2 linked regions of the Ovis aries genome follow. Each later gene encodes a partner of the first gene's protein in a complex. Links are inferred from orthologs where the notes say so. Each region holds a gene or a part of one and is shown on either strand. Other genes may lie near its edges. The genes, in order: ATP2B1 and NPTN.

Evidence for each region.
Region 2: the proteins of ATP2B1 (region 1) and NPTN are in contact, whole or in part, in a cryo-EM structure (PDB 6A69), measured with the Homo sapiens proteins. The link is inferred for Ovis aries from reciprocal best matches to the Homo sapiens genes ATP2B1 and NPTN. Residues at the interface, in NP_001353449.1 of Homo sapiens: Phe954, Asp955, Ile956, Asp957, Glu996, Arg997, Asn998, Val999, Glu1039, Gln1040, Leu1042, Trp1043, Ile1045, Phe1046, Met1049, Gly1050, Leu1052, Leu1053, Gln1056; in NP_036560.1 of Homo sapiens: Arg245, Ser246, Asn248, Arg332, Arg334, Pro339, Pro342, Phe343, Gly345, Ile346, Glu349, Ile350, Ile352, Leu353, Ile356, Ile357, Tyr360.

The regions. Positions count from the first base shown.
Region 1 is NC_056056.1:126,009,620-126,013,429, forward strand, and holds part of ATP2B1 (plasma membrane calcium-transporting ATPase 1), read right to left. Parts: intron 3,735-3,810; coding exon 3,696-3,734; intron 2,970-3,695; coding exon 2,808-2,969; intron 1,239-2,807; coding exon 1,024-1,238; intron 1-1,023. UniProt on the Homo sapiens protein: Catalyzes the hydrolysis of ATP coupled with the transport of calcium from the cytoplasm to the extracellular space thereby maintaining intracellular calcium homeostasis.
Region 2 is NC_056060.1:20,255,383-20,259,751, forward strand, and holds the start of NPTN (neuroplastin), read right to left. Parts: upstream 2,917-4,369; 5' UTR 2,744-2,916; coding exon 2,653-2,743; intron 1-2,652. UniProt on the Homo sapiens protein: Probable homophilic and heterophilic cell adhesion molecule involved in long term potentiation at hippocampal excitatory synapses through activation of p38MAPK. May also regulate neurite outgrowth by activating the FGFR1 signaling pathway.

The sequences.
Region 1 (3,810 bases):
GGTAGGGTGGGGGGAAGGGAGGGAGGCTCAAGAAGGAAGGGATATATATATAAATATGGCTGATTCGTGCCGCTGTATGGCAGAAATGAACACAATGTTACTGTTAAAAAAAAAAACCAAAAACTGTCCAGGCTAACTCTTTTAAAATACAATTTGCTTTTACCATTTAGGATATAAAACTGATAAAAAAGAAAATTAATAATCTTCAAACAGAATATTCCTTTAAGTAAAACAGCAGTCAGCAAAAACATCCAAGCTCATTTTTTCAGCATTCTACTTTGAGAACAGAAGGACTGTATTACTGTACACGGAGTGGTCGGAGACAGTAACATGTGAAGAGAGCTGAGTAAAGTTAGAGAGCTGATGATTCAAAGAAAGGAGCACACAGGTCCAAAAGTGAGAACAGGGCTGGAGTTTTTGAGAAACAGCAGGAAGGCTGGTGAGGCTGGACCAGAGTGGGAGAAAGATGTGGGAGATGAACAGGAGAAGAAAGAGAGATTGGGCAGACCAGGCAGGCCGTGCAGGCCACGGCGAGGGACCCTGGATCTCATTCTGATGAGAAGCCACTGGAGGGTTTTTACACAAGAAACAAAAACGATCTGAATTATTTTTTAGAAACATGAATCTGCCTCCCATGTGAAGGCAGGACCGTGGGGTCATGAGGGTCCAACAAGGAGGCCTGAGATTGTTGGAGGCAGGTCAACCGCTCTGCTCTTGTCCCACAGGCAAATGACAAACACGCTTACTTCAATTTTACAGATGGGAAACAGAAGGGGACTGGACATCTTAACTATCGTATGCGGAAACGTAAGCTAGAACTTTCCCAGTGGAGTTCTGCTTAGCTCTGTGTCAAGGCTGCCCTTTCAGGCATGTATAGGCCTCGGTGCAGAGATCTTCAACTGGGGAGAGGAGGAGGGGACCAACAACAGAATTTCTAAAGGAAGCAGTGCAAATTTAGGGAAGTCTCCAACTTTCAGAACCCAAAAGGAAAAGGGCAGTCGTGCATAAGTCTTTTCCGCTTACCTTGACTGAATAAGCTAGTGAGATAGTGACTGCAAGGGGCAGACCTTCTGGTACTGCCACCACCAAAACCGTAACTCCAATAATGAAGAACTTTACAAAATACTGTATGTAAATCGGTGTGCACTCAGCAAGCCACGGTCTCTTCTGAACCCAGAAGGTATCAATCACAAAATATAAGACAAGAATGATAACTGTGATGGCAGACATCAACAAACCTTTCAGCACACAAAAAGAAGGAAAATGCAATCATTAAATATTCCAGACACGACTCACTGTCAGTTACATATTAGCCACTGGAAGAATCAGAACTCCTTTGGTGATATTTAATTTCTCTGAGAAACTGTTACCTACTCTTTTGCACCTAACTCATCCCTTGACATTGTTAGATTTAAGTTCTGCTTCTGACTAGGAGAACTGGAAAAAAGTGTTTATGATTCTTTTCTAGACTTAACTGCATCTTCAGTCTTTTGCTAAAGCTGAGACAAAATAACAAGCAATGACAAGGAAATACCAAAAGTGTAGCATAAGCTGCTTAATGACAAAAGAGAAATTGGTAAGGATCTGATCAATGGGGAGACCTAGAATTAAATATTCAACTCTATGTTTTTTAATGAAAAACACAAATTACTGAAATTAATTTTTTCATCTATCCTTACTGATTTATTAACTAAGAAAACCAAGAGCTAATCACATATTACAAATCATTTACCTTTCCATTTTGTGGGGTGTTTAATCTCCTTATAAATGAATATTGCAAAATAAGGCATGTCCACATATCTGGAACTAATAATCCAATCTGATGTTTATTAAAACACCATCACCACCTTAAAGCCATCTATTAAAACACCATCACCACCTTAAAGCCATCCACTTCTGCATGATTCAGTATTAACATTTGGCTAAATATTACAGAAAGCAAATATCTCCTAGATAATAAGCTTTCTGAGGACACAGGTAAAATCTTAACTTTTTCTGAGATAATCCCAGGAAGTAACAGAATGATGCCATGGAAGTGGCTCGAATTGTTGTTCAGTCGCTAAGTTATGTCTCTTTTGTGACTCCACAGACTACAGCCCAACAGGCTTCTCTGTCCATGGGATTTCCCAGGCAAGAATACTGGAGTAGGTTGCCATTTCCTTCTCCAGGGGATCTTCACGACCAAGGGATCGAACCCGAGTCTCCTGCACTGCAGGTGAATTCTTCACTATGTTTTATTTTCCCCTGAAGAGTAGTTCTATTTAACAGGTGTTTTCTAGTGATGACTCTTAATTTATAACTTCAATCTCACCAGGGCGATGCTGTAAGTATTCCACTCAATTTAAGTAAACTGCAATTTTTAGAAAAACACATTACCTAATTTTTTTTTCATAGTCAATAAAAAGATGAGAAGATGTGTGGTGAAGTTTCTTTTTATTAAAATATAGCTCGGTAATTTGTATAGAGTAAGCCCTCTCTCTATTTTGCCCAGAAATTCAGATACAAGCTCATGGGCTTGTGAATTGGGTAGATTAGGCACTAATCCTAACCTGACCATTTATTTATTAGCAAGTTGACAGAGGACACTCCCTCTACACAAAATGATGATAACAGTTCCCAAGTTTCAAAATATTATGAGACTCTCTAATAACTCAAAAGGTACACTGTAGATAAAACTTAAAATATTATTAACTCCCCTTCCACTCACAAAGCAATGATTTCCAGTCTTAAGTACGTCAAAAGATATTTTTAAATAGCAAGTCAGCGTATTTTAAAACAAAACATCTTATTTTCTTATAATATCATACCTGCTTTGCCAATCTGAACAGCTAGTTTCGTCAGTTTCCCCTGTAAAACGGATTTTTCCTTTTTTGGCAAATTTGCTTTCTTTTTGTCTTTCTCATCACCATCTCCACCTTCTTCACTCTTCAAAGGCTGCATTTCCATGGCTGCGCCATCCTGGGCTTTTGCTATGTTGAAGTGCACACATAATGTTAACATTTTCAAGCAATTTGGTGTGTGTGTTGGGGGGGGGAATCAATTTCTTATAGAAACACAAAGATTTAAACATTTACCTTAGTGTGTATGTCTGTGCCTACCCAGAGAAAATAAGGCAATAGTGACACTAGGTTTTGAAACTTTGTACCAGATTTGAGAATGCTGTGGTAGGAAATAGAGATGAGGCATAAGAAGAAATACAGGGTCCTGAAAGAGCTAAACACCCAATCATTTCTCCTCCTGTGTGCTGTGTCGTTCCAAACACCATGAATTCCTCCCAATAAGTTATAACCATAACGTAGAACATCATGTGAGACCATACAAACGAGAAATGTACATATGCTTACAGACTTAAATAGATGCCAAAAAATCCACATTACATATTTTGTTACTTATGCCATTTCTGCCAGCAATCACATAGTAACCAATGATAAAATGCTTGAAATGTCTAAGTTTAAAGTTACCTACATCTGGAGCTTTCTAAATTTACTACCACATGCCATAATTAAAATCTTATATCAAAAATGTTAAGGCAACATGAGTCAGGCACTGACCAGAGAGACATACACCCAAGTAATACAGGTTGTTAATTTTCTCTGCTACAAGAATCCTACTTTTGGATGAATACAGTACACAAGAGAAATAGTTTTGGCTATAGTAAGCATAAGCTAAGTGTACTTTTAACCTCCTGAATTTACCTTTGTTGCGATTCTCAATAGCTCCATCTTGTTTCTTATCTGTAGGAACAAAACGGGAATTAAAGCTTTCCAAAAGAAATGAATACAGCCATGCTAAATTATGCAAAGGTAGTTC
Region 2 (4,369 bases), on another chromosome or scaffold:
TCTGAATGAAAAGCCCTGAATCTCTCTGGCATGGATCACAGCTAGAGGAGACCTTAAGGGTCATCTAATTCAAATTCTTCACTTTAGGAATGATGCAACAGACCTTTTGAAAAGCATCTACACTCAATCTAAACTACCACATACTTAAACCAGAAATACTTCAAGGTTTGGGGAGGTTTCTTTTTTAAAGTCATCATTTTAAATAGATAATCCAACTTTTCAAGTTCATCTAGAACACAGTATCCACTTCTGAAACACTATAAGAAAATACAAACCCCAAGACATGAGGTCAGACTACTGAAGAGCTATTACCAATAGAAAATTTTAATCTTACAGACATGCTATAAAAAGGCATCCTTACCTATATGGACTCAAACTCAAAAAACAGCCTTTTTTTCTTGAATTAAATTTACATTCATTTGGGTCAACTACAAGCTCAGCTTCACTTCACGAGTCACGTGACTGAATTCAAGCTCATTTCAAGGAAAAGGCTGCACTATGCTGTATTTAGAACACATATCACTGAGAATAGCCAGATGAGTCTTCATAGGCCTATGCAAAAGCCTTGCTTTAGTTGCTAAGAAACTACAATTTCACTGTATTATAAATTTTCTAAGAAGCTGTGTGCCAGCGCAGAGATTAAACATGTTAAGATCAAAATCTCTCGCCTATTGTGCCTAATGAAACCTTGCTTTTCCCACAAACTGAATAGCTGAAATTATTGGTAACACAGACTAAAAACTGATGAGACAAATCAGACTAACTCTACCTTGCCTTCCACAGTGGCCTCATGCTTTGAAGTGTAAAATACCCAATATGCTTCACATATTCAATGCTAGAAATAGAAGAATGTTTCCTTCCTGACCCCTGCAGTGATCATTCAAAGCCATGAAGCATACATAAGATTTTATTTGTATGATTTGGTACAACAAACACTTACATTTAACTGATGCTTTTTCGACCTTGACTGATATATTTTCAGTGTAATCTTCAGCATTTTAAGTACGCATTCTCCTTAGAATGCTTAACTCCATTAGCTTTATCACTGATTTTATTTTTTAGTGAAAGCCATTTTAATTTCAGCTATTCCAACAAGAGTAATTTTAAACTATTCTAGCATAACAACAAAGAAACACCAAAGAATTAGCAAAAAGAATTTACAGTTTTTCAGAATTTTTTACAGTTTTTTACAGAATTTCCAGTAAAGTCATGAATGAGTTCAACCTCACAATTTTTTTCCTAGAAAAAATATTTTTGAAATTTCTTAAAGGCTGTCTCCACAAGAGCAGAAACTGGTTCACAATACTTCTAATCTCATCTCTAAAAGATTGATTCAGCAGCTGAATTTTAACACATATCTTTAACAATCAGAATCTTTTTTGTCTAGATCCCCCATCACCATGCTTCCCACCATGTATCCATCTTCTCTAAGGGATTTCAGTTCAAAACCCAGTTCAATTATCTTCAGTTCAATCATCTCCTTTCCACTGTACCCTGAACACATCCCAGGAACTACTTTTATGTTCCTCAGAAATAATGTCTCTTCTGTTTTGAAACTTTTCGACCTTAAAAACACACTTCCCTCCATCTCCCTCTCTCCAGTGCCGGCCCTCAATCCCACCACTGCAGTTTCAGCTGTGTGAAAGGCCCAACCAATATCATACAGCACTTGCCAAAACTCAGCTCCTCCCTTCCCTAATATATCCTCCACACTGCAAACTAACATTACACCCCCGGCTTCCTGCATTTTACTCCCTTCCCTTATTTTCTGTCTTCCCCTACTTCCATTTCTATAGCCAGGCATCCTTATTTCTCTAACAAATAATTCCCCCTACCTCAGTTTCAACCCTTTCTCCCCATCCTCTGCTCGTTTTTCCTCTCCTTATTTAGAAACTCCTTTTTGCTCTCCCAACCACTACCCTAGAATGCCCAACACTCCACCCTCCTTAGCAAACCCAGCCCTCTTCCCCCACTTCGTTTACAGCTTCTGCTGCTCCTCTTTCCAGATCCCCTATTGCAGTCAACCCACTACCTCGGCTTTCCACCCACCTTCCCGCCACCTCCACAGCCAAGGCTCCCTGATTCCTTACCCCCTCCTTAAGGCTCTAGTACTCTGCTCAGTATTCTTCAGGACTCCCTTCCCCCAACGTCTCATTATTTTTTAAGGATGTCACCAGTCTTACAGGGCCCCAGAAGAACCTTGGACGACTCCAGCGCCCAGGACCCCCGTTCATCTCTGGAGCCTGATACCACTCTCTGTCACCTTAAACACAAATGTCGGTCTTGTGTAGCCTTCTTTAAACACTGCACCCCTTCCTCATCCGCCCCCGCTACTCCAGCTCCTCAGGTCGGCTTCTTCGGGGACCCCTCCCCGACTCGGAGCGACGAGCCCCAAGATGAGCAGCCTCTAAATTAGCAACACCTCAAGCTCTCATCGGACGCCCCCAGCTCTCGGACAGGCGCCTCTGGTTCTCACACCCGCGCGCCTCTTCGAACTCGCGACCGGCATTTGGTCCTGTCGGGCCCGCAGCACCTCAGACTTCGACCAGCCCCCTTCCCCGGACTCCGCCACCTCCTCCGGCCCCGAAATGCCCTCTCCGGCCGCCACCGTCCCTCAGCCCCCGCCCGGCCGGCCCCCGGCGCCCTGCTTACCGTTCTGAGCGGCGCCTGGCCCTGGGAGGAGGGAGCCAGAAACCAGCAACAGTGAGAGGGCCAGGGCACTGGGAAGCGACGAGCCCGACATCCTCCCTGCAGAAGACGGAACAGCGAATGGGCCGGGGCCGGAGCCGGGGCCGGGGAAGGGAGGGGAGGGAGGGAGGGGGCGGGCGAGTGCGCGAGGGAGAGAGCGAGGGAGGCAGCCGTGGCAGGGCTCCGTCCTTCCCCGTCCTCCTCCTACCGCCGCAGCGCCCAAGCCTCGCGAGACCTTCGCTCCGGGCCGTGGGCGGCTGAGGAGCGACAGCATCAAGGCTCGCGAGAGGAGGCAGGCTCAATCGATCCCCCGCCCCTCGGATTCCGCGTCCCCGCCCCTGCAGAGGCTGATTGGCCTAGCGGGAGGTGGGTCACGTGCCAAGGGCGCTTCTGGCCACGTGACGGTTCGAGGCGGGGCTCCTCCGGCTTTCTTGGCCTTGGGGAACCGACGGTTCTATGTTCTGCTGATTCCTCTGCGAAGTCGGAGCTCCCATAAATAAGAGGAAGCTTTGAGAATATATTTCCTCCGCCCATCCTGCCTTTCATTAGTTGGAGGTCTTGGCTGCAAAATTTAATGCACCACCGGCCTTACTCTTATTGTTCCCTATCAAACTCCTATTATTTCTTCCTCCTGGACTTCCTTCTGGACTTTAACCTTAGACCTATTCCTCGCATCTGGCTTCAACCTCCCACTTTAACCCCCTGTATTAACCTTCTAGGCTAAGTGGTGCACTCCGCGTGCCTGGTATTACCTTGTGCTTTACTGCTTCTTCATCTCCCTCTGCGTGAAATGTCCTCCTTTTCTTCGCCCTTCTATTCCCCCGCCCCCATTTTGGCCTTATTTTAACTACCTAGAATCTCAGGCCTGAAAATCAACTAGACTAATTGCTCGTTAGGCAGTTTGGGCACTAAATTCTACAAGGAAGTCAACATGTATTAACTATACGAAATATCTTCAGAAGTATTTTTGTGCAGCAAACATTTACTGAGTACTTACTGTGTGCCGTGAAACCTACGTGAAAAAGTGGTCCTTACTATCACGAAGTTCACAACCCAGCTTATTAGAAGAGCGAGGAAGAGGGCAAATGACTGCACAGCAAAACGACCCATTGGAAAGGAACCAGCTGGGTGCTCTGGCAGTGTCACTACTGTTTGGATGGAAGTTTGGGGAATGCCCTTTCTAAGGATATTTTTGGTACAACCTGAGCATCATCAGTCCTTGGTTGCTAAAGGAGTTTCTGGGTCTTAGCTCATCCCTGACTCAGAGCAGACATCCGGGGGAGTGTCTGTGGAATGAAACTGAGAGGGGCCAAGTAAGCAGTCCTGGTGACCTGACTCAATTTGAAGTGAAAACTTGAAAAATCTGGAAGAAGGAGCATTCACCATAACCTTCACTCAAGCCAAAGTGGTCTCAAGCTTTCAGTGTGAACCAGACACCTGGTGGTTCCAGCCTGAGCTTTCTAGCAAGCTACAACTATGGCGTATTGTTGACCTAAATGAAGCATTATCCTTCAAGACCTCAGGTGAGTGATAAAAAGCTTGGCATGTGTCTTTGGACAAAGGCCATTGTGCAGACAGCTCTGGCTGGAGGGCTACAGGGCTCCTGGTGAGACCAGGATTTTCAGCTGATGGGAGTTTTGATGGGATGCAACCATCCTGCCTCATCATCAAAATCTGTATC